Solanum lycopersicum: one gene and its partners. The protein of the gene in region 6 binds, or shares a complex with, the protein of the main gene of each other region. Links are inferred from orthologs where the notes say so. Each region holds a gene or a part of one and is shown on either strand. Other genes may lie near its edges. The genes, in order: transcription initiation factor TFIID subunit 5, transcription initiation factor TFIID subunit 11, transcription initiation factor TFIID subunit 15, transcription initiation factor TFIID subunit 10, transcription initiation factor TFIID subunit 15b and transcription initiation factor TFIID subunit 1.

The links.
Region 1: transcription initiation factor TFIID subunit 1 (region 6) and transcription initiation factor TFIID subunit 5 share a complex: the UniProt entries of both Arabidopsis thaliana proteins name them as parts of the TFIID complex. The link is inferred for Solanum lycopersicum from reciprocal best matches to the Arabidopsis thaliana genes HAF01 and TAF5.
Region 2: transcription initiation factor TFIID subunit 1 (region 6) and transcription initiation factor TFIID subunit 11 share a complex: the UniProt entries of both Arabidopsis thaliana proteins name them as parts of the TFIID complex. The link is inferred for Solanum lycopersicum from reciprocal best matches to the Arabidopsis thaliana genes HAF01 and TAF11.
Region 3: transcription initiation factor TFIID subunit 1 (region 6) and transcription initiation factor TFIID subunit 15 share a complex: the UniProt entries of both Arabidopsis thaliana proteins name them as parts of the TFIID complex. The link is inferred for Solanum lycopersicum from reciprocal best matches to the Arabidopsis thaliana genes HAF01 and TAF15.
Region 4: transcription initiation factor TFIID subunit 1 (region 6) and transcription initiation factor TFIID subunit 10 share a complex: the UniProt entries of both Arabidopsis thaliana proteins name them as parts of the TFIID complex. The link is inferred for Solanum lycopersicum from reciprocal best matches to the Arabidopsis thaliana genes HAF01 and TAFII15.
Region 5: transcription initiation factor TFIID subunit 1 (region 6) and transcription initiation factor TFIID subunit 15b share a complex: the UniProt entries of both Arabidopsis thaliana proteins name them as parts of the TFIID complex. The link is inferred for Solanum lycopersicum from reciprocal best matches to the Arabidopsis thaliana genes HAF01 and TAF15b.

What each region holds. Positions count from the first base shown.
Region 1 is NC_090805.1:43,576,049-43,581,994, reverse strand, and holds the start of transcription initiation factor TFIID subunit 5, read right to left. Parts: upstream 3,921-5,946; 5' UTR 3,571-3,920; coding exon 3,380-3,570; intron 2,207-3,379; coding exon 2,125-2,206; intron 131-2,124; coding exon 52-130; intron 1-51. UniProt on the Arabidopsis thaliana protein: TAFs are components of the transcription factor IID (TFIID) complex that is essential for mediating regulation of RNA polymerase transcription.
Region 2 is NC_090804.1:5,060,730-5,066,428, forward strand, and holds the start of transcription initiation factor TFIID subunit 11, read right to left. Parts: upstream 3,304-5,699; 5' UTR 3,096-3,303; intron 1,835-3,095; 5' UTR 1,827-1,834; coding exon 1,510-1,826; intron 1-1,509. UniProt on the Arabidopsis thaliana protein: TAFs are components of the transcription factor IID (TFIID) complex that is essential for mediating regulation of RNA polymerase transcription.
Region 3 is NC_090810.1:45,837,899-45,843,495, reverse strand, and holds the start of transcription initiation factor TFIID subunit 15, read right to left. Parts: upstream 3,484-5,597; 5' UTR 3,330-3,483; intron 1,108-3,329; 5' UTR 1,059-1,107; coding exon 939-1,058; exon of another isoform or gene 923-938; intron 798-922; coding exon 433-797; intron 309-432; coding exon 111-308; intron 1-110. UniProt on the Arabidopsis thaliana protein: TAFs are components of the transcription factor IID (TFIID) complex that is essential for mediating regulation of RNA polymerase transcription.
Region 4 is NC_090811.1:67,584,407-67,590,360, forward strand, and holds transcription initiation factor TFIID subunit 10, read right to left. Parts: upstream 3,985-5,954; 5' UTR 3,613-3,984; coding exon 3,514-3,612; intron 3,435-3,513; coding exon 3,370-3,434; intron 2,255-3,369; coding exon 2,192-2,254; intron 1,050-2,191; coding exon 992-1,049; intron 930-991; coding exon 879-929; intron 635-878; coding exon 554-634; 3' UTR 287-553; downstream 1-286. Other genes in the region: protein GLUTAMINE DUMPER 2, read right to left, coding at 5,005-5,463. UniProt on the Arabidopsis thaliana protein: TAFs are components of the transcription factor IID (TFIID) complex that is essential for mediating regulation of RNA polymerase transcription.
Region 5 is NC_090805.1:50,538,684-50,542,447, reverse strand, and holds the end of transcription initiation factor TFIID subunit 15b, read right to left. Parts: coding exon 3,412-3,764; intron 3,139-3,411; coding exon 2,988-3,138; intron 2,905-2,987; coding exon 2,823-2,904; intron 1,719-2,822; coding exon 1,598-1,718; 3' UTR 1,165-1,597; downstream 1-1,164. UniProt on the Arabidopsis thaliana protein: TAFs are components of the transcription factor IID (TFIID) complex that is essential for mediating regulation of RNA polymerase transcription.
Region 6 is NC_090806.1:3,247,493-3,252,651, reverse strand, and holds part of transcription initiation factor TFIID subunit 1, read right to left. Parts: intron 1,797-5,159; coding exon 1,539-1,796; intron 219-1,538; coding exon 118-218; intron 1-117. UniProt on the Arabidopsis thaliana protein: TAFs are components of the transcription factor IID (TFIID) complex that is essential for mediating regulation of RNA polymerase transcription. Core scaffold of the TFIID complex.

The DNA of each region.
Region 1 (5,946 bases), on a different chromosome or scaffold from region 6:
ATTCTCTCACAAATATCAAAATACAACCAAAACATAACTGACAAAGTATACCTTCTTGAATATAACCTCTAGCGACAAGTTCCATGAAACAATGAATAAATACAGGATATAAAACACGAAGCAACTCATGCTGCAAGATTGAAATATATATATGTTCAGATGAATCAATAATAACAATAATCTCATCTAACAAATAAAAGAGGATAACAATAATCAACATAATATAAGATGATTTTAAATGAGTCACGCATACTATAAAAGAGAAAGACTTAACAACCCCAATATATACAATGGCCAAACTGTTGGAAACAACAAAGTTTGCACATCATTTCTGCGAACCGAAAGGTATTCTAAGCAGTAACAGCACTGCAGAAAGAGAAACGACCAAAGGAAAAAAAGGAAACAGAACACTCGGCATTTAAAATTGTTTCATTTTATCTCCAATGGATCCTACGATTCTTTAGAGAGACAATACAACCGCACTCTCTAGGATATGAAATAACTTTCATGTACGTGAAAGAATTTTATGGAGAGAGATGGCTAAATAACAGAAGGAGCTGATAATAAATTTTCAGAGTGAAACGAGGGGCGGATCTTTAAGGGCGAGGCGGATCCCAACCCCTTCGTTAGCTAGCTTAACTTCCCTCTTTTCAATCAATATCAGATTATGTTGGAATTGGAGAAAATCCAGATGCACACAGCACATCCTTCAATTCCAATAGAAAGAGAGAGGCAATCTGGAATGGACTGAGACAAGGTAGACAGAAATGGACAAAAATAAATGGAAGGTAGCTTCAGCTATTACAGGAAACCACAAAATCTTGAAGATTAAAGAGTAAGTCAAAAGGAAGTGTCTAACTTGGAGAGAGAGAAAAAATGGCTCCTTATGTTTGAGTATAGGTTCAAGGTGGTCCTTCAATATACCCCCCAACAATTTGGGTTTTCTAAGTTTGCCAAAAGTGAGCATTTGGTCTCTGACAAATATTTAACAAACTCGGATGGTTAAGACTTTTTTTTTTGAAACAGAACTCAAGTGGTTGGACCCTTTTTTTTTTTAAACAGAACTTGAATGGGTAGACTTCATCGGAATGGTCAAAATAACTATCCAACCAAAAACACCAAAAAGTCCTGTCCTATCTTGAAAATTGCAACACCAAAAATTGAACCATATACCACACAATAGATATTAAAAGATGGCAAAATTGCACTTCAAAAGCTGCACCATCCTCCAAAAATAAACCAAAATTAGCAAGCTGGCAAACGTTGAAACTATAGATGTTACTCCCTTGGTCCAACAATAGTTGTCTACTATTGACTTAGCACACCCTTAAGAAACAATAAATAATAGCGGTAACATTACTATTTTATCCTTTGACTTTATTAAATTTAATGCTCTGGAAAATGTGTTAGATGATAAATAGTATTTAATAACAAAGGACACAAAAGGTAAATTATCTCTTGATTTTCTAAACTGGACCCTTGCTTTTGCTAGCAAGGGGTTTCGAACTTGAAACCTCCAAAATGGAAGCCCCAAGCCCAAACCACTGCCCCCCCCCCCAAAGGGTGTTTTCGCTTTTGGTGAACTTAAAGGACCAAAATTGTTCAAGAGTATTAAGGGACCAACTTGAACCTACCAAACATATGGAACCATTTTCATCACTTTTTCATCTGGCTTGTATAATCACACAACCTAACTTGTATGAAGACGGCACGCTTGTCATGCTTATGTTATGAAGAGCTATTTTTGGCTCGCTATTATGATCGCAATGGTAGAAGACAGTACTAAATCCATCACTGGTGCTACATTTATAGCATAAGTCAATGAACTAGAGTTGAGAATCACAAATATGAGAACTCAATTTTGAAGACCTTGTCACTGCCAGAAAGACAGCAGCAGAAGTATTAATAGGTCAAGGTGCACATCACTAATACATTATGTTAAGGATTAAAAAGGGCTAAATAAAAGAGAAAATGAAAGCCTTTCCTTTCCATTTATGTTTATTTCCTATGGTGTTACTGGTGGCAGACCTATTATTAGTGCATTACATGTCATGAGGAGCTATGCATCATGATACTGCATAAACTACTTCTCATGTTACTGTTAGCACAAGTCAGGGGACCAACCTTATACAGATCCAGTGAACTATAGGCCCATGACCGAAGTTTGCTATATTCTTCTTGGTATCGTTGGGGACTGGTTTCAAATCTGAAAACATAAAAATTTAGATTCAGAATGATATCAAAGATGCATGCTAAGAAAATAACCAGAAAGTATGCGTTATACAGCTGTCAAGACTTCCAGCTAGTGTAAGGCGGTGTGAAAACGGAGCCATAACATCTATCCATCTATATCTGTAATATTCTAAAAGTAGGAAGCTCCAAAGTGTAATGTCACTAATAGAATGTAAAATAACACCAAAGCTTCCTCCATACCAAACACACAATTATTGTTGCTTCCCTTCTTGAAACAACTAATGAAGCCTCAATCCTAAACAGTTTGAGACTTTGGGTCAGCTCATAAATCCTCCTCTACATCCCCTCTATTTATTTATTTATTTTGAAATAGGTAACTTAAATCCGCACAAAAGAACTCATCAGACTGATGAGGAGGAATTTACAAACCCCAGGGGATGCCATCATACTCAAAATCCAAAAACAAACTTTCAAAAATTTACAGTTGGCCTATAATCTCCACTAAGCTATCTATTGTCCCCACTAAATCTTGCTTACACCAAAAAAATATAATACTAAGAGATCTCATCTTGATCTTCTGTGTGCTGCTACCCTTCCCTTCATAATATCTCTCATTCCTTTTTTTTTCATAACGTCCACCAGATACAAACAGGGATATTCTTCCGCCAAATTTCCTTTGATCCTCTCTTTCCAATTCCTAGACAGTGTGCTAGTACCTCAAAAGTGGTTCTGGGCATTGTCAATGCTATTTAGAACCGCAACCTCATGGCTAAGCACTCTGCATTTAAAATACAGGAGAAGAGGACAATTGATTCAAAAAGAACCTATTTCACCAAGTAGTGCTGATTTCTCCCTCTTTAGAATGGGTCCAGTAATTAAATTTATGTTATCTACAGAGAACAGATTATTTTTGTCTGACGGTTCAGGGTCAATTTGGGCATTTGCAGAAATGCTACTGGAGGGTGCAGAAAAACTGCTTCAATTATATTGCTCCTGCTTTTCTTCCAACAACCAAGTCACCTCTCAACCCTAAACTAGTTTTCAGATCTTCTGTACTCAATCCTTCTCTACTTAAACGTGTTTCATTGAAATTAAACTATCTTTCAAGGTAAATTGATTTTAGAACTTAATCCTCTTAGCCAAACAGTAATTTTTACATCAAATTAAGTGGAAAAAAGAAACTTACTCAGAGAAAGAAAGGATTTTTTTGGTTAAGTCGGGGTCAATCTGAGAATTTGCTGAGTTGTTGTTATTATGGATTGAAGAAGAACTGTTTTTATTCACTTGCTGTTCTTCTTGAAAAGCAATCTCCGTTTGCTTGAAACCCTTCTTCTTCAAATACGCTACGACTGCTTTCTCAATCTCTTCTTCATCCATGGCGAGAAATGGTAAGATTTTGAGAATTGGGAAGAAGAAGAAGAAAACACCTGGGGTTTATAGGACCGAGAATTTTGATTTGGGGTTTCTGGAGGGACTTAATACGACGTCGTCGTCACTTTGTTTATGGAAGGTGTTTTGTTTTATATTTTTTTGGTTAGGCTCCAATTTCTCTCTTAATCACAAGATTTGCCCTTTAAATGGACCCATATGCTTAGTGAAGAATAAGTTTTTTAAGGACATAATATATTATTTTGTGAGAAATTTATTTATCTTCGGAAGCAAAAATCAAAGATTATCACAACAAACTAGAGTCAAAAGATGCAAACTTTTTTATGCTAATGTGAACCGGTGAGACAATAGTATATAATCATGTATATTTGAAATACTACTAAGAATTAATATTTAAAAAATGTATTAATATGGCAGATCTAAGGTGGGGTGTCACAGTATATGTTATTTGCAGATAATATAATTTTGATTGGTGAGACTAGCGACGGAGTTAACGTTCACATAGAGATTTATAAATAGACTTTACAGTGAATGATTCGGGCTGAGGACATGACTAAAATTGGATACTCAAAGTACAAATTTAACAATGTGGTGCATGAGGCTGATGTGGAGAAGTGAGACTTGATATACTAGTCATCCAAAAGAGAGATAGTTTCAAGTATTTTGGATGTATTATCTAAAAACGGAAAGATTGACAAGTAACACCCAACGTATTGATATGAGATTGAGAAAGTGGAAGTTTTATTTTCAGAGTCTTATGTGATAAGAAGGCGTCACCTAGCCTTAAATGTAAATTTCATCAAGTGATGGTAACATGAACTGTGCTTATAGGGTGGATTGTTGGCTAATCAGAAACTCCTCACATTCAAAAAAAAAAAAATGATTAATCTTTTAAATTCTATTGACCAAAAAAGAATGTCAATTATTATTCCATTCTCTTTCTTTTGTATTTGCATTCAACGCCACGTCGTATATAAATCATTTACTTATTTGATCTTTTTATCTGTTTTATTTTAACTATAATCAAATATAATAAAATAAATATTTATTACAAATACTTGTAGTCTAAGAAAACATTTAGAGAGAGAGAAAAAAGAGCAATAATCAAATTAACAAAAATTACTATGATAATAATGTTATATATTGTTACATTTTAAATGGCAGAAAAACTATCGAATGTATTTAAAAGGAGTAAATCTTGCGGCAATCAAAGAACCACCATTTCCGTAGAAAAAGATTGGTGGAAAAAGAAAAGAGATAAACCTTTGATTTGTCCTGCATGATAGATTTAATTTGATCTTTTCGGCGGCTGCGACATGCTTCTTCTCTCCAAATTTTCAACTGAAATAGAAACACAAGAAATTGTTCAAAAGGGGTAGACCTGAATCGAAACCTGAATGAAGGATGATGATAACAAATGCAAGAAGGCAACCTGAATCAAAACCTAAATGAAAAAAATGTTGATGTAGACGAAACAGCTGTATTTTTTTGGTAAAGTTTGACTATAAAAGGTAAAATGGTAATTAATTTAGAAGTTTAAATATCATAAATTCTTACTTAAATCAAATAAGGACTTTATTTAATTCAAAAGTCTTAAATATGATGATGATAATTAAACAATAATTATTTGAGGAAATGTATAAAATGATTGTTTATTATAAAAGTTGCACGAATTACATAGTACTACGAGCTAATTACATCTTATTTCTATTTTTTTTTCAAATTAAATTACAAAAATCTCTTAAACTTATAGATCTCGAATACATCAGCAAACCTCCAGCGATAACTAAACAATTCAAATTTTATTTCTTTTTTAGGAATTGGTGGCCTTATTTGCTGAAACTTTGAGGAAAAACAGTTTTTTTACACCAAAATTTGAGCTTGCATAAACATAGTGTTAACTTAATATATTCATATTCCATTGACTTTATGTCGTGTTACAAATATATAACCAAGAGAATACAAATTTTAGTTTCAATCTAATCATCTTACTTATCAAGAATGTCGGTAAGGATTGAAAGAATCGTTAAATTAAAAGAACTCTAATAATAATATTCATCAGTTTTAAACTTGTACTCCCTCCGTCCCATTTTATGTGACAACATTTGACCGGACACATAGTTTAAGAAATAATGAAGACTTTGAAATATTTGTTAAATTGTCATTCAAAAAAGTCAACTCAATTTTCTCTCTCCTCATAAATGTATTATGTACCATCTTTAAAATTAAATGGGACCAACAAGAGTAAAAAATGAATTATACATTTAAATACTTACCATATATAAGAAAATGTGATTCTTTTTTTGGGGAGGGGGGGGGGGAGGGGAGGCTGACCAAAAGGAAATTGTGTCACATAAAATGTAA
Region 2 (5,699 bases), on a different chromosome or scaffold from region 6:
TTTTTCTATTTTCTAGTGGAAGTAGGAGATACAGCTAAAGAAAGGGCTAGGCTGCAGCAATTCAAGCATCTAAAAATACATATGTGATAATTGCTTCATATCAGAGATTCTACTTTACTTGTGAATGACATCTGAAATCACAACCTTCAACTCCCATAGCTTCATAATTATTCTCTTGTTTTTTTTTCTTCTTTTGGGATGAAAGCATCCATCACCCTATAACTGTTATTGAAACAGGAGACATTTCGGGTTCGAATGACGAGGAATATTTTGAAAATGTATGTTGCACCAGAGAAGTTCGATCTCTTTTTATGCTTTCACATATTTGGAAGGAATGGGAAATAGATAGCAAATAAAGTTTGACAACATAGAATAACAAGTACGAGACTTGAGAAGCCAAATGTCTACCTCCCTTCACCTACCTTACCTCAAAAGGAATTTTACCTCTTTTCTTGTAGTGTCATAGAACCTCTATTAATACCAGGTAGAGCGCTGCTGATTATAGGATAGAAAAATATTCTAAACTGAGCTCACGTAAAAACGAGGTGCAGACCCTAGATAGGAAGGCCTGGAGGTCGAGCATTAGAGTAGAAATTTAGTAGGTAGCCGCGTGTGGTCGCCCGTTTGGTGGGAGAGGCAATGCCATATCCTCTTCTCCTTATTAGTAGTAGTATTTAGTAACTCGCATAGTTTCTTATTTTTCTATGTGTTTCTACTATTTGTTGCTTCATTTTGCTATGTGTCCTGATATTTTGTTTTCATGTTTTCTTATTGCAACCCTTCAATGAATAGCTTCCCTTTTAAGCCAGGGATGTATCCAAACAACCTCTCTATCCCACAAAGGTAGGGGTAGGGTCTCCGTGCATCTTACCCTCCCAGAACCCACTTATGGGATTATACTAGGTATATTGTTGTTTAACAAGGAGGTGCAGAAGAAAAACTTTAGCATAACAAGTATATATATAACTGCAATGTACAATTCCCATTTTATTGGCCTTGACCACAATATGGTTTCTTCCATACTAAATTAGTTATTCTCCATATTGCCCTTACTTAACAATGCTGATACAAAATGTCAATTTATTATTTAACAGCTACTATATTTCCTACTGGTGTTTATCTGCAGTAAATCAAGCATATCAAGCTAGATGAGATCTGTTCACAGATCTCAATAGAAGCATTGACCTGCTGGTTATATATACATACTTTTTGTTAAAAAAAAAATGATACAGCAGATATACTGAGGGAATACAGCATACAAAAGAGAGTTAAATTAATAGTCTGAGTAACAAATCAACAAGGAAAGAAAGGAAGGTGAGAGGAAGGGATAGAAATCATCAGAAAAGGAGTTATTCTTTTATGCAAATTGATCAGTAGGCAGGTCCAACCACCCACATAAGCTATCACAGAACAGGATAATAGCATACAATCTTGACAATCTTCTGTGAATGGAATCCTTGTAAACAGAAAGAGTTCGAGATATTTGAAAACATAAACTGACAAACTTACTGCATCTTCGCCAGTTTGTCAGGATCACTACTTGATGAGAGTTTTCCTAACTGCACATCCATGCTTTCTTCCTCTTCCTCCTCATCTTCCTCTTTGGGTTTGCTAATTGGACCAGCAGTACTAACAGAGACTGATGTAGCTTTAGATGTTGAAGGTTTTTCACGAGAATCGGTATTAACATCGTCACCTTCATTCATATTAACACCAACTGCACCTTGATCTTGGCCTTCATTCTCATCGGTTCCAGCAGGGGATTCAGGGGGTGAGTCATCCTGCTCCTCAAAAGTAGCCTCAAAAGGATCCTTAGATCGCTTCATAGAATTCGCTGCACCAGAATGTTTAGATTCAAGTAAATTATTCACCATGCTAATCATTCATCCATTTTGATTGAGATATACCAACTTCCAACACAATAATGTGATATGTTCAAGACAATTTTTTAGGGAGGCATGGTAAATTATAACTAGATTGATTTGGACCTCACAAAATGGCCACACTCTCCAACCAGGTCGATTGATAAATTAATGGAGTTGAACTGATGCAGCTCAGATATTCTCAAATCAAATGATCATTGCAAGGATGAAAAAGATTAAAGCATTCGGAAGGAAGGAAAGTAAAGATAAGGATGAAGCAACAATGTCAAAGAAACATTGTTGAAGTTTGAACTAGAAGCTACACCATCCTTCAATATGTCTAGATTAAGATAAAAATGAAATATAGAAGACAAATACTGTACTATTTCATGTTATCAGTTTCAACAAAAAAACAATGTACTATTTCAAGTGAGACCAAAAGGTTAAGTAGTTGTCTACTTGCGCTGGTACATTTTTTGTTATATAACTGCAGTTATTGCCCTGTTAAATTTTCATCAACGAAGCAATGATAAGATATCCTCTCTTCTTTTTCATAACCGATAGGATCCTGCAGTCTGTTGTGGTGTATAATGGGCTCATTCCTTTACCCTTCCCACTTAAATACCAGGCTTTTCCAACAAAAGGGTTTGAACACGTAACTTACGCCTAACCACCACATCACTCAATAACCAAAGCCCTGGTGGGTATACAAAGACATCCTCCCGGTACATCCTAAGTCACAAAACTAAGACTATAAGGAGTCGTTTGGTATGATGGATAAGGAATAACAATTCCGAGACAAAATGCAGGACTATTTTATCCTGCATCTGGTTAGGGAAATTAGTTAGTCCCGAGATTGTTTATCCCATCATATATATGGTAGGATAACTTTGTCTATCCCATTCCCTGTACCAAACAACCCTTAAAGATTCAAGCTTTGCATGTGATTTAACCTAAAAACATTTCCAAAACTAAAGTGTGAACAGCTATAGCATGAAACAGGCCTCCCCTAATGGAATGGATCGGTTCTGCCAACGAAATAAACACGGAACAAATCTAAGGTATGTGAACAGCTGTAGCATGAAATAGGTCATAAACGGAAAGATTTCCAGCTGATTTCAAACAATTGAACTGCACGAAAGCTAGCCCGGACACCACGATTATCCAAAAAAATTGTTCATTGCAATATTAGGCAAAATCATAATTGATCAATCCAAATAGAAAGAAAAATACCTGGCGAGCCAAATTCTGTGATACTGATCTCTCACCAAAGATAATTCCGGCGAGCGTGCCGGCGGCCGGTCTGAAGAAATTTGACGGGTCGATTTCGCTGATGTGGTTGTGGGTTTAAATTGGATTAGCTCATGGGTCGGGTCGGGTCGGATTTGATTGGATTCATGAATTAGGGCAGTTCAAGCGGACGGAAACAGATAATCCCAATAAAAAAAGGTTATTGCCTCTGATAATAAATTATTGATTTAGCGGTTTTAATAACGATTTTGATTTTTTTTAATTAGTGAGATATTAGTTTTAATGATTTGAAATTATTTTTTTTAATGGATTAACTAATAACTTGATTGTAAATTAAAGAATTATATTTATACAATTTAGTAGATAATGTCCTTGATTTACTATATAAATTTATCTTTTTTATTTTTGAGTGTCTCAAATTCTCGATTATTCAACAGTGATGTGATATGTGAACTTACATGTCCACTCATTTTGTTCGTCACAGTATTTTTAAGTGATTATTTTAAATCAAATCTTAACGGTTAAACAAATTACCAAATCAATAACAGTTGATAATTAATAAATCGATAACTGATAAGTTAATATTTTAATAGTTCTAAAATAATTTAGCACATCTCTAAATCAATAACCAATAAACCTCAAATCAAACGAAATCGATACGCAACCCTTCATTTACCTTCTTGCAATTGTGGCCAAACAAATCACAGATGGTTTTTTAGTAATGGGCCTAGGATTTTAACCAAATTATTTTCATTTTGGCCCATATACAAGGGAGAGCAAATTAAATGAATATCACATACTTTAAAAACATTTTTAGTTTTGTTCTTTTATGGTTAGTAATTAGAATTTTAATATTTCTTTGACTAAGTACAAAGAATTTTGTTGACCAATTAATCAAATCAAGAAATTTATAAAAGAAAATCACTAAAAGTCTAAAACAAGACTATTGTAATAAATTTTTTTCTTTTGAAAGTTTTCAATGCTAAATGCTATATAAGGTTGTGTACGATAAAAACTAAGAAACACTCTAAAATTCTTAAAGGTTTTATTATTTTACAAAAAGATGGACAAAACTTCGATTATGGCACTTTTTGTTGTTGCTTTCTTGATTGCTTCTTGTGGTTAGTCTATTTTGTTTTCCTCTTATCATTTTTCCTTCAGATCAGTTGATTTTGTAGTTCTTTACTTTGTCAATACGTATTATAAAATGTTAACAATTGTTTTATAACTTTTTAGATGTGGCGACAGGCATGAGAAAATGTAGCACAACAGATGATTGTAACAATCATGAAAATATGTTTCCAAAATGTATTTGTGTTGATGGAACATGTGTATGCAGCTCACTCAACGCACATTCTATTGATCATGAAGATAGTGGTTCAAGTGGCAAGTATTAACCTTGAAAAAATTATATTAAAAATGTCTCATTTGATATTGCTTACATGATGAAACATTTGCAATAAAATATTTAGTTGGTTGCATCATGATATGAATTTTTTTTTGTTTCTTTTACTATTTTAGATCTTGAGTTATTTTCTCCGTTTAATTTATTTATCGTGATTATTATTAAAAGAAAGAAAATAAAGGAGGAAAAGATAAATATATTATTCAATTTATGATTTATAATGAATATACTCTTCGTTTAAAAAATTGGGAATAATAACTAACTTTATAAGCTTGTCTAGCTGTTACTTCTACATGTTGAAAAAAAAGGTGTGGAGTAGAATGAAAAAGATAATGATTAATGAATTCTATTAAATTAATTATAAAATACAAATATGTTAAGACCTAAATTAAAGCTTTATTAATAATAATGAAGCATATACTAAAGTCAAAAATTATTTTATTCACATATTATGACCAAGACATTGTGTGTATAACTATGATCCACTCGAAATTATGTTCTTTTAAGATGCTAACGAGCTTTATAATTATTTTTCAGATGTGGTGACAAGTAATTATAAGATTCATCCGTGTAATGATTCATTAGAATGTGTCGATGAAAAGAAATATATGATTGAATTTTCAATTTGTGCTTGAGGGGCATGCAAATGTGTTTGAACATTAAAAATATAAGGCGGAATGGTCTGGTAGACCCTCGTACTTGAATCGATTTGCATTTTGAACCTTTCTAATTACTCCTTTGTCATCTGGACCCCTAAACTAAATAAAACACAATATTTGAAACTTCTTTATAATTATTTGTGTGTGCGTGTATTACACTCAATTTACACATGAATTCCACGTCATTTTTTAATGACACGTCGGTATTATTATTATTTTTTAATGACACATCAGAAATTAAATATTTTAAAATAAATATTATTTTTTAAAAGGTACAATTCTTTTTCTCTCTCTATACTCATTTTGCATATTTCTACTTCATCTTCTTCCTCCCCACCCTCTACCCTTCACCCAAAAAATAAAAATCACCACCTGCCCCTATCCATTTTCTTTTCTTCTCTTTTCTTACGGACAAAACACATTTTCTTTTGTATATCCCGCCGGCAATATGAAATTCTGATCATAAATTTCATCTTTCTCCTCCATCAATGCCGCCGCCAACCACCCTGTTCCTCCACTAAA
Region 3 (5,597 bases), on a different chromosome or scaffold from region 6:
CAAAGCTAAACTTGTTTGAATGTCGAAATCCGTTATGTGTCTCATAAATTGGGATAGGGAGTATCATATTTCAATAAAATAGGTTGCAAAATGAAAATGAAGATTCTTACATCGGACAAGCCCAATCATTTGGACCAAAGAGGCCTGGAGGACCACCAACTGCACGACCAGGAGCGCCTGGGTCCTGGCTACCACGTCCTCTCCCGCGACCAGCAGCTCCAGCCCCACCGCCACCAGCACCAGCAGGCCGAGCAGTTCCACAGCGGTTGCAAACTCCACGAAATGCAAAGTTCACATTAGTGCAACTGCTATACATTAATTACAAATACTGTAAGCACAAAAACATATTGGACTACTCGAAGTAAAAACAGACAATTGAAGAAGATACAGTAGAGCACGAACGAGCTGCTCACCAATGATCATATCACAGACCTTGTATTTGGACACAGCCAGTCACCATCTTGTTGCCATGCCTTTGCAGAAGCATCTCCCCTGCCCCTACCTCTTCCGCCACCTCCATCTATATCGTTGGAGCCTTCATCCAGCACAGCCAGACCACTGTTCAGATTGGGCTCACTAATTTGATTCACTGAAACATAGGAAGCCTCGTCTTTGTTCTTAGACTCTGCAATAAATACCCCAATCATTGACCCATGAAAATCCTTGTTATTGAACCATTCAACAGCAGCTAATGCAGCATGAGGGTCTTCATATGTGACTGTGGCATCGCCTTTGGGCTCATTAGTAACTTTATCACGGTATAACCATATCTTGGGCCTACCGCTTCGTTTGTCTTTCTACAACATGAAGCAAAACAAATCCTTAGAAAAGAATAAAAAAATCAAAGTGATCTGTTCAAAGCAGAGTAGGGGGAAGTGGGAGAGAGCATATAACAAACATTCTCGAACATAATTAGAAGTACCTGTTCACAACCATACCTTTAGCACCCCTATTGTGCCAAAATATTCAGCTAGCATATCTTCATCTGTACCAAGGGGCAAGTTACAGACATACACAGAACCATTTAATGTAGATCCTTTCCCTGAATAGCTTGCCATTTATGCTCCAATTTCATCAAATCCAATGACACAATAAAAACCCCAAGAACTGCATAAAGCAACAACCTAGTATTAGTCCTGCCACAGTTCCCCTGTCCTTAAAAGTAACTACAGGCAAATCATATTAAACTGAGAAAAGCACCAGAGTATGTGCAAGTCAAAGGACCAAACCAGAAGAAATGAAGAGATAACTAAAGAAATTTTTTTTATATAAGATAGGGTGTAGGGAGGAAGTTGGGACGAAGCCAACTTTTAAGTGGTGGGATTAGAGACAAATGCCACTTGGCAGTAAATTTTCCAAAACAGCTGGAAATTGGTTAATGTTTTCTTACTGCAATCTTGTAATACATTAAGGAAAGAGCTAAGTAGTTATTGTCCTTTATGAGTATAGAATTTCAGGTCAATGGGCTAAAAGCACGTGTAGAATACAATACTTTCGAGTATACCCAATTTGAGAACACTACTAGGGACCTTCACATGTCGATGCCTGTTAATTTTTGCAACAAGTTGAGAAAATTATCAGGAACTCTGATTTATCAATCAATCAACTACGTCTTCATCCCAAACTAATTAGTATTGGCTATATGATCCTTCATATCTCTCCCGCACTATTTTTTTCCTTATCAATGATGTTATAAGTACTTGCACTAAGTCAGTGCCACAAAATGTAACTAAAGATTGAGATTTGAGGCATTGAGCATATCCACTATTGCATCTAGGCTAGCATCTTCATCATGTTCAATAACCAGTTTGCACTAAAAAGATCGAAAAAAGTATACAGTTTTGTTTAAGGGTATGTCTGATTCTTCAGTTGCCTAAGAAAAAATCTGCTATTTCTTTCAAGCCATATAGTCCACCAAATGGCTCAAGGAATGCTATTCCAAGTATTTGGGGATTTCTTGCACAGCCTGCTCTCTTTGTTCCAGCATTGCAATAGCTCAAAAATGGAGAACAATACAGTGCAAGACATGCTAAACATTGACAAAAACATGCACCATAACCAGAACAACAGGCTTCAAAACAAAAGCTTACTAATCAAATGGCTTTGGAGACTCAAAGATGAAAACTAAAGTATCAATACCATATGTGGCAAGGAGGACCAGTGGACTCCTAAAATCACTAATAACTAATAGAAACTACTATTTGGAAGCATATTTATCCTTATTAAAGGTAGTTCAACTCTTTTACTAGCAGAGTTGTGGGAATCGGCAAATGCATCAGATTCTGACTGGATCACTAGTTAGATATTGTGATACTAAAAAATGAGGTCCCTACTTCATTAAATAGGAAGTGCATGATAAACTGATGGCTGTTTGTTTCTCTAATACTAGATAACATCTACAACTTAGAAGTTAGAAGAAACCTCAAAGATTGGGAAAGACTAGAGAGTTATGAGTTTGGTCTTCTAAAGAGGTTCTGCAACCTGTATCTGCAAAAGATATTAATATTAATTCATTGAAGTGGCTGGCTAGAAAGAGTAGACTTTACTGTAAAGAGTTGCTATGATCTACAAAAGCAATCCCATGATTGAGATATGGATTAGCCTTTGAAAATTATTTGGAAATCAAAGGTACCTCCAAGGTAACTTGTATTGGTAGAGTTGGAACCAAAAGCAACCAGGAATGCCTGTATTCAGGACAATCTTGAAAGAGAAGGTGTGTCCTTGTGCAGTAGATGTTTCTTCTGTGAATGTTACCAGGAAAGCAGCAGAAACCTATTTCTCTATTGTAGTCAAGCCTTGCTAGTTCAGTCATTTCTCAATTTGTTTGCTGTCTGTTGGGATATGCCAGGAGATGTATAGTGGCAAGGACAGAGATATCAAAAAATTCAACAAAGTTCGAAAGATTGCTCCTTCATGCATTTTCTAAACTATTTGGACCCGAACAAGAGTTGATTTAAAGTTGATGAATTTTACCATAGCCTATCATGTTCCGATAGGTTGATACAATAAGGACAGCACGTATATTTTTAATGACTTTCATCTTACCCTATCGAAAAGGAGATGAAACCCACAACACATGGAAAAAAAATATATTTATAAGTCTTGAATCTTTTTCAGTGTGTGAAGGCAGGCAGATTGGCAATACATAGAATTTAGGAGCCATTAATAAGAAAGTAGTATGTAAATTCGAGTACAATCCACGACGAACTATACAAGTTGGATTCTAGGGTTTGTTATACAGTGAGATTACAAGCGAAGCAATGCAAGTCATGAGTGAAAATGGAATTAGGGTTTTAATTTTGACAATAAGAATCTAGAGAGGGACTTACAACTCGATTACGCCGGGGCTGTACTGAAGAGATCCACCGGAGAACAACGGAGAGAGAGCAATTTCGCCGGCGCCAACTTCGCCGTATAATAAGAGTGCCTTTGAAATTGGGGCAGAAACCAATAAACAATATGTATTGTGTTTGGGTTGGGTCCATTTTTATCCATTGCACGAATTTGGGCCTAAGAGTTCAAAATCCATTTGAGCCTAGTGCACAAACAATTATTTTTTTGAAAAAAAAAATTAAACAACTACACAATATTTCTTGGACAACTTTCACATATAACAAATATAAAATTCTTAATTTTATGCAATGACAAACTTTTCAAAATTACATTTCGTAACAAAATTGTAGTTTGCTACGGATGAATAGCTGTTTGGTGAATTGTATAATTAGTATATTATACAGTGCAGAAGAAATTGTATAAAGTAAAGAGAAAAGAGAAAAGAAAAAGCTTATGTTTGTAAACTCAGAAGAATTACTGTTTGGTGAATTGTATAATTAGTATATTTATACAGTATAGAAGAAATTGTATAAAGTAAAGAGAAAAGAGAAAACATATGTTAGCAAACTATGGATTTATCGTTGTTTGGTGAATAGTATAATTAGTATATTTATACAGTGTAGAAGAAATTGTATAAACTAAAGAGAAAAGAGAAAATTTTTGTTTTTATATTTATATTTATATAGTGAAGATTCAAAGCCCATTTGGATAGACTTAAAAGTAGCTTTTAAAAAGTACTTTTGAAAATGTTGGAACTTATTTTTAAAATACGCAGTTATGTGTTTGGCTAAAAGTGCTGAAATTAAAAAAAGGTTGTTGATGTGTTTGACAAATAAGTGCTGGTAAACACTTTTTTAATCAAAATGTCTAAAATACCATAAATGTTGTGAACATGATAAAAGTTGATTAATTTACGATTTTTATACTTCAAAAACTGAAACAAAATTAATTTATATTTTACATCCATCAGTAATTATATTTTGCTATCATTCACATATTTCCTTATTATCATAAATTGTGTATAAATAACAATAATAATAATTATAATAATAATAATAAATAATAATAATAATGATTTAATATGAAAATAATAATAATAATATAATAATAACAACTATTATTATTATTATTATTATTATTATAATTATTGTAATAATAATAATTATTATTATTATAATAATAATATATTATAATAATAAATAATAATAATAACAAATAATAATAATAATAATAATAATAATAAAATAATAATAATAATATTATAATGATAATAATATATAATAATAATAATAATATAATGTTATTATTATTGTAATTATATTATTATTATTATTATTATTACTATCATTATTATTATAAGTATAATAATAATAATAATGATAATATATAATAATAATAATAATAAATAATACTAATGATAATTATAATAATAAAAGATAAAAATAAAATATTAATTATAATATTAACTATAATAATAATAATAACAATATATAATAATAACTATACATAATAAATAATAATTATAATAATAATAATAAAAAAAATATGAAAACAACAACAACAACAACAGTAATAATAATATAATAATAATATATAATAATAATAATAATAAAGAATAATTAAATAAATAATAATAATAGAATAATAAAAATAATAAAATATTAATAATACTAATACTAATACTAATACTAATACTAATAATAAGGGAAAATGCACAAGTACCCCCTCAACCTATGTCCGAAATCCCAGAGACACACTTATACTAAACTAAGATCCTATTACCCCCCTGAACTTATTTTATAAGTAATTTTCTACCCCTTTTTAGCCTACGTGGCACTAGTTTGAAAAAAAAGTCAATCATCGTTGGACCCACAAGATAGTGCCACGTAGGTCGAAAAGGGGTAAAAAAATATTAATAAAATAAGTTCAAGGGGGTAATAGGACCTTAGTATAGTATAAGTGTGTCTCTGAGATTTAAGACATAGGTTGAGGGGGTACTTGGGCATTATCCCTAATAATAATAATAATAAGGGAAAATACCCAAGTACCCCCTCAACCTATGCCCGAAATTCTAGAGACACACTTATACTATACTAAGGTTCTATTACCCCCTGAACTTATTTTATATGTAATTTTCTACCCCTTTTTAGCCTACGTTGCACTAGTTCGAAAAAAAAGTCAACCATCGTTGGGCCCACAAGATAGTGTCACGTAAGCTAAAAAGGGGTAAAAAATTATTAATAAAATAAGTTCAGGGGGGGTAA
Region 4 (5,954 bases), on a different chromosome or scaffold from region 6:
AAGGAGTAAATATTAACTTGCTATTTTGTGAATATTGTGAATATTGCATTTTGTTCACTATGATGATGGATATTGATGCTCATTTTGGTGAATGGTCTTCATTTCGATGCAAATAGAAGAGACATTTCGCGATAAGCTCATTACCTTGTTTGGAAGGATCATTTATTGAAGTGTCGTTCACGATACATAAAATATTCAGCCAGAGCTACTCGTGTAGCCGTCATGTTTCAGCTACCACAATAGTGTATTCCATCAGAAATAGACACAACCAAACATGTAGAGCACATTCATCAACAAGTTCAAAGCAAATTTAAACATTCAAACCAGTTATCAACATCACCCTCATTGCTACCATGAAAGGAATATCGAAACGAGAAATCTATCAATGGTGGCAACTACAGTTAACATTGGTAAGTATAGAGATACATAGTAGTCAAGAGTTGTATCCTCCAACAGATATATAGCTTTTGAGAAATCAAGAGGATGACAACAACGCAATGACCTAAAACCATCAGATTTATGTGATCACAGAGATTTGTTAGCAGGCATTACATCATTCCTCTCTTGAAGCAGGATCTAACCCGGCAGACGGGCTATCAGCAAAGTAGTCTTGATGTTTGACGTTAACACCATACTGCAATGCAAATCAAAGGTTACGGAGAACACTCATATGCAAAAAGTATCGCTGAAGTGATAAAAATATTGGCAACGCAAGAACAGCCTTTTGGAGAAGAAGAAACAAGAGAGGTTCTACAAGGATGGACCACTCGATTGGTCAAAAGCATTATACAGCAGACTATTTATAGAATAAATAAGATGAAATTATAATGATGAATAACTTTTTATTATTTTTTGATAGGCCAGCAAAGAATGATTACCTCTCGTAGAGATTTTGAAAGATCATCCATTGTCAAGGTAAGGCGTTTGTCCTGCTAAAACAGAGTTAGAACCAATAAACATAAGAAAATGAAAAGAGAAAAAAGTGAAGCACCTTTTGCTGCTTATCTCTCTTGTCCTTGACAATAGTTGACTGCCTTGCCTTGCAATGTCTGCATTACCATGAAAAATAAGAAAGTTAATCTAATATAAGCTCGGTTTCCAAGACATTAACAAGAATTTCAAAATTCAACTATATTTTGTCTCAACACAAAAAATGAGGGTGTCTTTATCCTGGTCTACCCACAAGTCATCAACTTTCCTTCCTTCAACCACTGCCATCTTGTTGTCTCAACCATATTTCTAGTCTCTACACAGAATACCAATGGAGATACCCCTTGCTCCTGATATATCCTAACTTTCATCGACCTGCCTGCTTTCAACCACTGGCATTATGTTGTTTCTCTATTGGAATGGCCCGTTTCATAAATATCCATTTCTTTCTAAACATGAAGGATACATAAGAGACCATTCATAAACTCTTATTCTTTCTTCCGATGATAAAGCCATAATCTATCCTCAAAAGACTCACAGCATTTCATGAGTTTTACTTTCATTACGACTAGTGAAGGCAAAATAGTGAGTAAAGTGAGGCATTCACAAAATCTTGAGTCGATAACGAAACAAAACACAACTGATTTGTCACAGTTGAGAAGATCTACCACAATCCAGTAGAAGCATTAGGAAAATAACAATCCATTGGAAACATTAAGAAAGGAAGTTCAGAGAAAGTTGGATGCTTTGTTATTTGTAATCATATATTCTGAAACAAGGTCTTTCTACATGTCTACTCAAGTCATATCTTAGTTTCTTTATATTGTATTTTTCTGTTTCTTTGTCTCTTTTCTAAGGTTTTGGAGTGTCACAGACACAATAATCTCCTGAGGTAGTAGTATTATTGCGCTAACAATAGAGAATTTCAGGTGTTGTATTTTTGGTAGTGTAGTCAAGTTAGGGTCGGCAGTCTTTAAAAATATAACAGGCTTGGATTCTAAAATTACCAACTTAATGTTTCTAATTCATTAGAGACGAACCAAAAAGAGTTTTTTTAAGGTTTGGGGGAGGAGAACAACTTGAACACTTAAAAGTTGGAAGGATCATACAATGACAAACACCTAGACAGGCAACAATTGCATTGAAGCCTCAAGAGTAGGGGACAATCGATGAGCAATATGCCGAAGAATTAGCAGCATACTTAACATAAGATGGAGGAGGAAACAGAATTCAAGAAAAATAAAATAATTAAGAAACATACTGGAGAGCATCAGTAGCCACATCTGCAATAAACTTCTGAGTAGCAACTGCCACCAACCTTATTCTGCATATCCAAAGGAAAAACTCAATACAACAACACAGTATTAAAAACTGATAACATAAGATAAACCAGCCATCACTGTCAAACAAAACATCAAATGCTACAATATTAAAATTTACAACTTGTAAAAAGGTAAATACCAATCCAATTCACAGATATATAAATTTTACTTGAATTTACTGCTAAACCAGATAAATAGAAAACGATCAAAACAAAAACGGAACTAGAGAATACTGCCGCTTAGTCACTGTTTGATTGCTACGAGTATAAAGATATTCAGCTAATTGCTCATCTAATTTTCATAAAAATGGGTATTGCCTTGCGGCTCCACCAACAACCCACCAAGATGTTATATTATTGTTTACTGATGCAGGTTTACAGGTGGATACTGGACTGGCAAATATTGGTGTTGCAGCTCTGGAAAGCCTTGGAAAACTGATTCATGCCCATGTTTCCCCAATCCAGTTTGCGGGAAAAGCTATGACTGTTGAAGCACTTGCTTTAAGAGTGGCTCTTGAACGTACAATCAGGAACAATTGGAAGGATGTGAGAATCCTATTGGAAGCAAAGAGTGTTATTGATTATGATTCAGGAAAAAGTTAACTACCTCATGGGAGATAGAGGTGACTTGTGAAGACATTTGGAAGCTAAGAGCTTGCTTGATCATGTAGACTTTGTTCATATTCCGAGAAGTCTAAACAAAACTAGCACATAATTCAGCTAAGTTTTCTATTACTTCGTTGAAGGAAATATCTTGGGAGGACATCCTCCCAAGCTGGATTTTACATCATTATATGGGCACCTTTGCCCAATTTATTTGTTTGCTGCAGTAACATAATATCTCCCTTTGAACCCCCAGGGCTTAGCTCACTTGGCAAAAGTGTAGAGCTTTCGCTACGCCAAGCAAAATAAACGTAGGTTGAGGAGCGCGTTCATCGTATTCGAGTTTAAAGACTACGGTTAGCTCAAGACAGAGGATAAACCTAGTGAAAATAGTTCTAGATAAACACACGAAAATCATATCTTCCTTATGAGCAATCCAAACAATTTTTCTATAACTAATCTAAGCAGGCTAAATTGCAGAAACATCAACATAAGAATGGGAAGAAAATACATACAATCGAACATCAGGACATTGAAATCCACTTTTACCCAAGTAATGCTCCACCAATTCATCAGGAATCTGATCAAAAGCGTTAACCTACATAAATAAAACATAAAATTGATCTCTTCAGTAAGAAAAAGGGCAAAAAGTAGCTCACAGTGGGAGTATAGTCCATCAAGGAAGCAAGGAAATCGGCTAGAACAGCATCATCCTCGTGTCTTCCTTCACTTGTTTGTTGACCTTGACTTTGGTTCATCTTCACCGTCGAAACAGAGTCAACGGAGGATCGGCGGTGGTCGGAGTTTCAATTTCGCCGGAGGAAAATTGGGGAAGATTTGTGCCTTTTTACTTTGAGAAAAAAATCGGAAGAAGAAACTGAAGAAAAATATTCTAGTAATAGGTAAGTAAAATTACTATGGTTACGATAATTTAAAATATTTAAAAATATATATAAAAATTATTTTTAAACTCACATATTGAAAAAGTAATATTATTTTCCTTCTAGGATATAGAAATATTATAATTTTGATTATTTTTTAAAATTCAAAATTGTTTCTCCACAATTGTGCAAAAAAGAAAAAAAATGAGAAAAGGCCTAAGATAGAGGAGAATTGTATTTTTGTTATGTGAAATTCGTTCGCGAAGAGGGGCATATATATTTACCTAGCTAACGATAATATTTCGTAAAAAAAAAAATTATATTTTATTTTATTTTTTAAATTTGATAGTTCATAACATTTAAAAAAATTATAAAATAAAAATATAATTAAATTATTTTATTCTCTATCAAACCAAACGCAATTAAAATTTACATTGAAGTATATATATATATATATATACACACACTCATAATCACTTATGTTAGCCATTTTATTCTTCTCTATCATAGAAGATTAAAATGAATTATATTATTATTGAGTAAACAATTTGGATATTATTTGATAACTAATTTAATTACAATACAATTGAGTAACTTAATTGGTACTTGAATGATTTGGTAAGCACGATTATAAATCATGTTTCACAAATATGACTAATATCACATTTGATTTGCATCATTTGAAAGTTATATTAGATAAATATAATTTATAAATTACATATTAATAGTAACTCAATTTATAGATTAACTATATATCATATTCGATAGATACGACCTATAAATTGCATGAATAAGCATGATTTTTAAATCATATTTAATTACTATAAATTATCAAATATAATTAGTAAATCACAATAGATATAAAATCGCAAACGTCACATATGCACATACATTCGAGATTCTTCAAATAATTCATTTTCTAAATCGATATATAATTGATTCTACTCTTTTCATTCATTATATTAAAAATATATCATCAATTTTACTTTTTTCATTGAAAAATTTAAAAACGATCTATTTATTTTTTAGCAAAATGACTCTTATGATTATCGTTAGCTAATAAAACACGTATCAAATCGAAGTAACAATTTCCGTGAAAACATATTACTCGAAAACGAAAATTTTTTCTAACTCTTTGTTATCTCAACCAAAATTGAGTACAATTTCCCGAATCTCAAAATTGAAAAATTAAACCAAAAATGGAAGAACTCAAAAAAAAAAATAGAGAAAATTGCTCTGTTTTTTTTTTTTCAAAGCTCAGTAGCTTCATCAATGGCCGATTTGAGATTCTTCATGAGCTTGATCCATAGCTTCATCTTTCGCCTTCTCATCATCAAATTCTTCAGTTTCCTTTTCCAATTTCTTCTCAATTTTATCACCAGCACCAAACGAATTACCTCTACTCGAAATAGGCGTAGCCAAAAAAGTTGGATTCAAATCTCCAGCCATTATCACAACTATTTTCTCCTCAAAAACCGGCGACGCCTTGAAAACATCACCGGTCGATTTCTCGCCGTCGCCGGATTCTACATCGCCGTTTTCTCTCGGATAGCCGGATCGTCTCCAGTAAGAACAAGCTAGGATTACTAAAGCAAAAGTTATTAACACTAGCATGGACGCTACGCCGGCGAATAGATACGGCGCCGGCGAATGCCATGGCGATTTTTGAACAATCGCCGATGGAGAGACTGATGGAGAAGCAGTAGTAAAGGTACTTACTGTTCGCATTTTTATTTTATTTTCGAAGATGAAATGTCTAATATTTTATTTTTTCGATAGAAAAATTTATTAAATTTTTTGCGAGCGAAACGAATATTAAACTTTTAGAACAAAGAAAATAAGAAAAATAAAACTTAGCTTGGCTTGAGAAATGCAAAGATGGTATATGTGTGTATTTATATGAAACAAATTTAGTGGATGAATAGTGAAAAGAGAAAAAGTAAGTTAAAAAGAAGGGTGAAGTGATCAATAGGGAATCATAAAATTTAATGAGAAGAAAAAAATTTACCAAAATTATTATAAATTTCAAATTTTCTTTTTTGCATATCATTGTGATGTAAAAATATATCGTAAAATATTAGTTAAAGTTATTATCGTTTGACTTTGAAAAAGGAAATTAAGACAATTAAAAGATGGACGGAGATAGTATGATATATTGTTATCTTTGAAATTTCTTGTTTTTAAAAAATTATAAAAATTCATATTCGGATATCCTCTCG
Region 5 (3,764 bases), on a different chromosome or scaffold from region 6:
AGCTTTCGACCACTACGTCTACCTTATTCCATTTGTACGACTATTTAATATATAGTATTTTGTTATAGATTAGAATTCCTTTGTAGTAAATTTGTTTTGCCTTATTAACTTGCACTGCTTTCTTTTTATTTAATACTACCACTTCTAGTCGAGAATGTATCAAAACAATTTCTCCACCTCGGATCTATATCCACACTATTCTTCACAAACCCACTACTTTTATCAAGGTCTCGACAGCGAGAAATTTCAGCTGCACTTTGAACGAAACATCAGATACACCATATTGGGTATTATCACGAATTGCACCATTGTCCGCCGCCTTCCTTCAGGAGACATTAAAATCATCAAAATCTTATTTGCATGGTAACTTGAGAGATATCAGAAGACCTTTCTTCACACATGATGTCCAATCCCCAACTCCCCAATAAACATAATATTTAGATCGACACATCAGAGTCTTAACAATACGATAGCAGAACAGTGCCTCCAGGTTGTAGGAAAACAATATCTTACAACCGTTTAGCCTATGAACCATTATTCAGTACAACATAAATGTTCTCAAGACCTTCTTAAGGATTATTAAAGGTTAAAAACATTGTCTAAATGCTAATTGACTGAATAGTATGAATAATAGAATAAGCCAAGGTCATACAACTAGAATATCCTACTACCCACTAAAAAGTACTCATTTGTTGTACCAAATTTGAAAATGATAAAAACAGACACATGGCTAAAAATGGGGTACAAAAAACCTGCAGAAGTACCAAAATGAAAATTCAAGCTACTTCCAATGTATGCTCCACACAAAGAAAAACTATTGCCACTCGGAATTTTATTTAGAACGACAAAAAAATTGGACACTGGTCCTATTTCCTGTGAATAGATTGAGAACCAACATGCAAGCACTCAGACCAAACAATCAATTTACAGTCTTGTTTTCTCAAATTGTAACTAACACATCATCATTATTTGTATAGCTGTGTGGTCGGATGTCTTTTTTCTGATCCAAACATTAATCCCTACAATTAAATTACCAAGTACTTCACCATTGTACTCCGCCATTCATGCTGAAAAATGTGTTTAGTACAAGAGACTTGTCCTCCATATTCTTCCATGGAAGAGAAACTGAACTAGCAGATACACAATAAAAGAAAACAGTACAAGTAATTAACAGCAACATCATATAGGAAACAAATTCATTATACAAGGGGTCTAGTGCAGAGATGCTAGCATTTCCAAAATGCAAGCAAAATCACTTAAAGAGACCAAACATCATTCAGCTTAAATTACCAGAGTAATCGGTTTTCCACAGTAGTAACACTCACCTGAATATTTCACCTACCTTAGCAGCAATTTGCAGAATATCCAATCGCCTCTATCAAAACATTCAACATATCAAAAAAGGTTCTGAACTAGAAAACCCCACCCCTTACGCAACCCCAAGTAGCAGAAAGAAAGAAGAGAAGGTGGATATTGCTCAAATGGAAGTGAGTTAACAGCCTACCTCTTTTAAGTCACAGAGAGTATATCTTGAAATGGAACTAACTAAAAAACCCTCCCACCACAAATTTTAGTACATAAAATGCTCGACTGGAACTCAATAAGGACGTGAACGATTTCCACCATGAAACTGTCTATCTGGGCCGGAACCTCCACCGTCTCTGTAGTTATCCCTGCGCCCGCCACCACCACCACCATAACCTCCGCGACCGCCACGGCTGTCAAAGTATAGACAGACATGAGCATAAGAGATATATTTACTATACAGGTTAGCACAGGGAGTCGTAAGTTCAGCATACACAAAAGGTCCCCCATCCCATTTATAAATTTAACCCAACAAATAACAACATAACCAGTGCAATCCCACAAGAGGGTCTAGGAGGGTAGTAGACTACGCAGACCTTACCCTATCTCGTAGAAATAGAGGGGTGGTTTCCGATATACCCTCAGCTTAAATAAAGCCAGCCAAATATATCATTAACCCGATGGAACTATATAATATAAAAGAAACAACATATTCTTCATTCAATCCAATAGATTAAACATTTTCTAAACCTTGAGCCAATAAAATATATAAACAGTTCTAAATGGCAATAGAAAGAACATAGGGCAGGAAGAATGCATAGGGTGTCAATCAGCAAGTGGATTTTCAAGTAGCAAAAATGGACATCGATTAAAAACACAATTACAACATACAACATGCAAAAAAAATTACAAAAACACTAATTCTTGAAAGCACTATTGAAATATGTAACTTTACAGTTTTACATTGAAATATACATAGATGATGCTGATGAATATATTTTTGCAGGATAAAGAAAAAATGTTTACTAATGAAGCCACACAATTATGATTAACCGGGTTCCCATGCACCTCATAAAGGACAAATGTAGTACCAAGTTATAGAGATGAAATTTGATTGCTTAATTCGCTTTTCTCTGGGAACAAATCAATGTATCAATGATGTTAACAATTTACTGAAAATAATTATTGAAATTAAACTTCAATACAGACACCCTATGCGATCAAGTATGAATTTTAGGCATGCAACTTTAGTATGAAATTTGGCACAGCAATTAGAGTCAACATCAGATGCAAGAACAACTCTGATCATCTACTTGATAAACAACCAAAACTCTGGAGAATTCATAAAAATAACCATACATCCACTATCTAGTTAAACACACTTGCTAACTCTGCATACATTCCACAGCATAACCACTAAGACATGTTGTGAGTTGACATAAACTGTGAATTGTAGCACAACTGGAGGTAAAATGCAATGGAGTAGAAAGAGTATGCAGTAATTTAAGAAGGCTCACCCAGAACCAAATGCCGGAGGCGGCTTTGGTGCAGACTTTTCAGCCATCGCTACAGTGATTTTGTAACCTCTGAAGTCGTGATCTGATGATGATTATATTTTATGGTCAGCATGTAAATAATATACTGCGTAAACTCAATTGAATAAATTTGGGTCTAGTTTGTACTATTGAAAAAGCCGCCGGCAGAGTGAGCTGCAGAAGGATCTTCGTATGACAGAACTGCATCTCCTTTGTTATTTCCTTGATCGTCTGTGTATAGCTTTATGCTCCAAGGCCACTGGTCTTTGTAACCTCGTTTTTGCTTGATTCTTGCAACCTACACGTTAAAAAGAAACTTAAGCACTTACCCTGGTATATATGCTAAGAGAAAGTCATTAAAAGTAAGCTTCTTTATTGTCACAATTCAATGGCAATTAGTCTGCAAAATCAAGTAGCAAGTATTGGGTTGTCCTTCTGTCTAAGCTCAGGCATCAATACCACATTAACACAGCAAGGGTTCACGTGAAGTTAAGAGAAGAACAACGTAAATGCTACAAGACAGAATGAATCTGATACTGAGAATCATAACCGAAAGAAATCTGCATATTACTTGTCCAATGCTCCCAAAAAGTTCTCTAAGTTCTTCGACGGTCACATCAGGAGGCAAATTTGAGATATATATTCTTGCGTTGTCACAGAGATCTCCACAATTCTCATCGCATTGCTTGACCTTTACCGGAGCCTCAGCTGGAGAACTACCATAACCACCTCCTGTATTCCGGGCACCACCGCCATATCCCCCATCATATCCACCTGGTGGACCACCCCGTCCACCCCCACGAGCATCAGCTGGTGTATCCCCACCATAGCCACCAGGGGCACCATACGAAGGGGGATAAGATGCAGGTCCACCAACATAACTCGCAGGCGGGGGAACTGCATCGGGGTTTCCACCGTAAGTAT
Region 6 (5,159 bases):
GAAGGAAAGGACAAGAAGTGAGAAAGAAAGAGATGACATGCACATCATGCTACAAGTCAGAATAAAAGGATCACAAAATGATAAGTAGTTCTTCTTATTAATTTGTAAAGGGCAAACCTCTTGAAGATCTTCACTAGATTCGGGAGCATCCATGGATATAACTTCTTCTGGAACCTTATTCCCAAGAGAAATGACTTCAGCTTCATTGTTGTATTCTCCTACAAACAGAACATGACAAATAGGTCTAACGTGAAGATGCAAAGAGAAATATTTAACTGAAATAATGCAACTCCAAGATTTATTCCTTTTCCTCCAACAGTAATCTCCCTGTCGTTAATTAATTCCTCATATCTCAACAGATCTTGGAAAGCAATCAAATTTTCATATCTTAAGATCTTTTTTTTTATTGAATAGAAGGGTACGGTCAGGAGTAATGTTCTTTGATAGTGTTGTCCAGAATATTTGAGATGGAAAACAAAGATAACAGATACTAATCCAATACATAACACAAAGTGCCTAGTTTTGATGTATATTTCGGAAGAAAAAAAGTTACATCTCCTTTTTTTTCTTATATTTTTTTGGGTCTGTTTTTCAGCGACAGAAGTTAAATACATATTCGGCCCTAAAATAAAAAAAGATGATTGAAAAAGAAAGAGTGAATTTCGTTTTTTCTAAGAGGCAAATCTGAGCAAGTATTTCTTCTCAAAAATCTGAGGAAGTACTTCAACGATGAGGGCAAATTCGGGACCAAATTCAAACAGAGAGCGATTGTTAAAAAAAAAAACATGGTGTCCAGACCAGCTTGTGCTCGCCTCGACTAGTTCCATGTGATATCAGCTTGAAGAGCAGTTTGGCCCTTTTCCCTAAATATAAAAGCTGAAGCAAAATAGAATAAAAGTACGCAATATGTCTCTTGTAATTCACATACTGTCCATCCTATCCGCAGCTCCCTACCTCTTCCCACTGCAAAATCTATCTGCTCATTCAGAGCCCTGCCGTAGCGTCAAGGCATCTAACGCCCCCATGATCTTTCCCTCATAAGACCCCCTCTCACCAAAAAAAAAGTATTGTCTCATAGACTTGTTCACAGCTGCTGCAAACAATTTTATTTCACCAAAAAGCTAGAAGAAAAATGAAATTTAGCACAGAAAGCTGCAACAGAAAAAGAGTTCGAAAAAAACCTACCACAAAGATTTATCTCAAGGATCAACTTTTTTTTATCCTGTTTCTAGGATAATATCTTGCTTTCACAATTCTACTTTTATTTTCTGATGCCCCCTTATAGATGGGACTCTGGGTTATGTCGGCTTTCAATTTCATTTTATAGGTGAGCAGCACTTTCTGTAATAGAACTGAGGTTTGTAACAAACTAACATGAGGAACTGCCCTTTAAATCTAGTAGTGGAAATCAGTGAAGAGATTAAAATATCAAAAGGTAAACTTACACTCCAAAATATTGCACAGTCATCAATACTTGTAACAACATAAAAGCATTTACGAAACACCAGTACCCAAGAAAAAAATGCTTTTAAACTAACCTTTTACAGGAGTAGATTGAACTTCAGCAGCTTTCTCTACCACCTCCTGTTCCTTCTCTTCATTATCATCCTCATCATAGTTTTCATCATCAAAAACAGAATCACGATTCTCCAAAGTAGTTAGAGAGATTTCTGTTGAAAAGTAATCCCTCTTCGGCAACAATAGGTCCTCTTCGGTAACAGTTTGTACCTCAGGTCCTTCATATTGCTCATCAATGTCCTCATAATCTACAGCATCTTCAGCCTTCTCATCATAATCTGTTTTAATAAAACAGAGGGAAGAAAAGTAATGAGAAATGACTTCTGAAAGAAAAGATGGGTCGAATTAAGCCTAATGGCTTCAAAATGATGATGAAAACCCAGTGTAAGCTCTATGAAACACTGAACCGTGTGCTTCAGAATGATGATGAAAACCCAGTGTAAGAGATTTCAGACCCAATTAGTTTAATCTCCGGGGTTTACAAAATCATAGCAAAGGTGCTGGCTGAGAGACTAAAGAAGGTAATAAGCAGAGTTGTAAAAAACCACCAGATGGCTTTCATTAAAGGGAGACAAATAATGGATGCTGCTCTTATTGCTAGTGAATGCATTGACAGCAGGATTAGAGGAGATGTGCCTGGAGTTATGTGCAAGCTAGATATTGAAAAGGCCTTTGATCACCTGAACTGGAGTTTCTTGTTGAACATTCTCAGGCAAATGGGATTCGGGAGAAGGTGGAATAAGTGGATAGAATTCTGTATCAAAACTACCAGGTTCTCCATCCTGGGTTTTTTCCCAGCTGAAAGGGGTCTGAGACAAGGGGACCCCCGTCACCTTTCTTGTTTATCATAGCTATGGAAGGGCTAGGCAGTCTGATGAGAAGGGCTGCAACAAACAACTGGATAAAAGGCTTTAGCATTAAGAACAGGAACAATGAAATCTTGGAGGTGACACACTTATTATATGCTGATGACACTGATTTTCTGCGAAGCTAAACAAGAACAAATTTGCTACCTAAGGGTGATACTGGTGATCTTTGAAGCTTGCTCTGGGTTGAAGATTAACTGGGGGAATAGCAATATTTTTCCAGTGAAAGAGGTGCAACAAATTCAATCTCTGGCAGGTATTTTGAGGTCCGGGATAGAGGAGTTGCCCACAATTTATCTGGGGATGCCATTGGGTGCTAATCACAAAGCTGTGAATATTTGGGATGGAATAATAGAGAAAACAAAAAAAAGACTAGCTCTTTGGAAATCAAAATACCTTTCCTTGGGAGGTAGAGTTGTTTTGATCATGTAGTCCTAGATTCTCTGCCAACATATGTAATGTTTTATCCCCCATCCCTGGTGTGGTGAGGAAAATCTTAAACAAGTTGAGAAGGGATTTCTTATGGCAAGGAAGCAAGATTGAGAAAAGTTTCAACCTGGTAAAATGGAGCGCAGTTCAGCAAAGCAAGAGTTTTGGAGGTCTGGCAGTGAGGAACTTAAAGCTTCATAATAAGAGTTCACTTACCAAATGGCTATGGAGATTTACTCAAGAAATCAGGCCTTGTGGAGGGAGATTATCCTTCATAAGTATGGTGCGGAGGGGCAATGGTGCACTAATAAAGTGACTAATACATATGGGTTGGGGTTTGGAAATCTATCAGGAATCTATGGACGACTCTCAAGCTAAACACCAAAGTTAGAGTTGGTAGGGGAGACAAGATACTTTTTTGGAAAGAGGACTGGAGCGGTCATGGCACACTTCAATCCCTTTTTCCTAGACTATTCTCAATAAGCTTGAATACTGGATGCAGTATACAGAAAATGTGGTCCCCTCAAGGCTGGAACCTCACTTTCAGAAGACCCCTAAATGATTGGAAAATACCATGGGTAGTAGATTTTCCAAAACTAATAGGAAACTTCCCGGGCATTAATACAGATTCAGACAAACTCATTGGGAGACACCACAATGATGGAATTCTCACTGTTAACAGAGTATACAAAAGGGAACTGTGTGTTGCTGGAGGCAGGTCAACTGGACCTTGGAATACTATATGGGAAAGTGTGGCTCCTAATAAAGTGAAATGCTTCACTTGGCTAGTAGCTAGGAAAGCATGCTTGACACATGAGGCATTGCAAAAAAGGGGGTTCATCATAGCATCTAGATGCCTCCTCTGCAAGGAGACACTAGAAACCAACAAACACCTTTCATGCATTGCAAAGTAACAACACAAATTTGGGCTATGTTCACTGCCATTGCTGGGATCAATTGGATCATGCCTGAACATACTGCAGACTTGCTTAGCTGTTATCAGAAGAGGAGGAAGCAAAAGCCAAAAAATATGGTGGAGGACAGTCCCAGCCTGCATCTGGTGGACCATTTGGAAGGAGAGGAACCAGAGGATCTTTGAAGGAAAAGAATCCTCTATTTTGAAGATTAAGTGGAAAGTAATTACTTTACTAGGTTTTTGGTGTAAAGAACAGAGTATAGAAGAGGAAATCCAATTAGTGGAATTTATAGGCTTTTTTGTGAGTATCTCTCTTCTCTTTTTGTAAAGTACTTGGAGGTGGCCAGCATAGCCTTAATGCTGAAGGAATACAATTTACCAATTTCAAAAAAAAAAAAATAGAAAACAGAATAAAGACCTAGAAGCCCATTGGAGCTTGAACACACCAAGGTCCAGATATAATAACACAAAGAAGGGCCTATTTGGAAAGCCACCTGGTAATTGAATTTGGTGTAATTGGTGCAACTATTGATGTGTTTGGTTGGTCATGTAATTACTTGGTTTGCAGGTAATTGGGTGTAATTGGCAGGAGTAATTATACTCTCCAATTCCCAGGGAGGGACTGTGAATTGTTGGTAATTACATGGTGCAATTACAAGCCACAAGCTGATTACTTTTTAATTTCTTTATTTTATTATTAGTTTTATTTTCTTTAATTTATACTTTAAAAAAAATTTATTTTTATTATTCTAAAAACTCCTAATAATTTATTTTCTATTTTATTTATATTTCATTTCCTTCGCATTTTCAACCTTTATTTCATGTGATTCCATACAATTTTACATATTATCTATTTTCTTATACAATGTTTTTTTTTTCATTAGCATAATTTTGTTAGTATTCTAACTTTTAAACTAGAGAATTCATTGCTAAGTAAGGTTATAGTTTATTTTTCTCTTAAATAATATTTATGTATGTTATGTTGAAATTTGACATAATAATATTATGTTAAATTTTTTGTTTTGAATTTAGAACTTATGTTACATTTGCTTTAGTAGTATTGACTTGAGACTTCACAATGCAATTCATTTATTTTTTAGTTAGACTTGATAGATTATCATTTTGTCTAATATTTTAACAATTAATGACATTTTATTAATAATATTAATTTTTTTGTCAAACATGCATTTCATGATGTTCATAGAAATCTTGTACTTTTAGTTTTTATATTTAATTCAATTGAAATATACTAATTTGAAAAATATAAATCAATTATTTTTCCATAATATTAGTTAAGAACATATTTATTAATTACATGATATATTTTCAAAAGACAATATGTCTTAAATATTTAATTAACATAATTATAAATCTACTTATTTGTTTGATATAAATTTTTAAAAATTAACTTTTATTTTTAAAATATAATA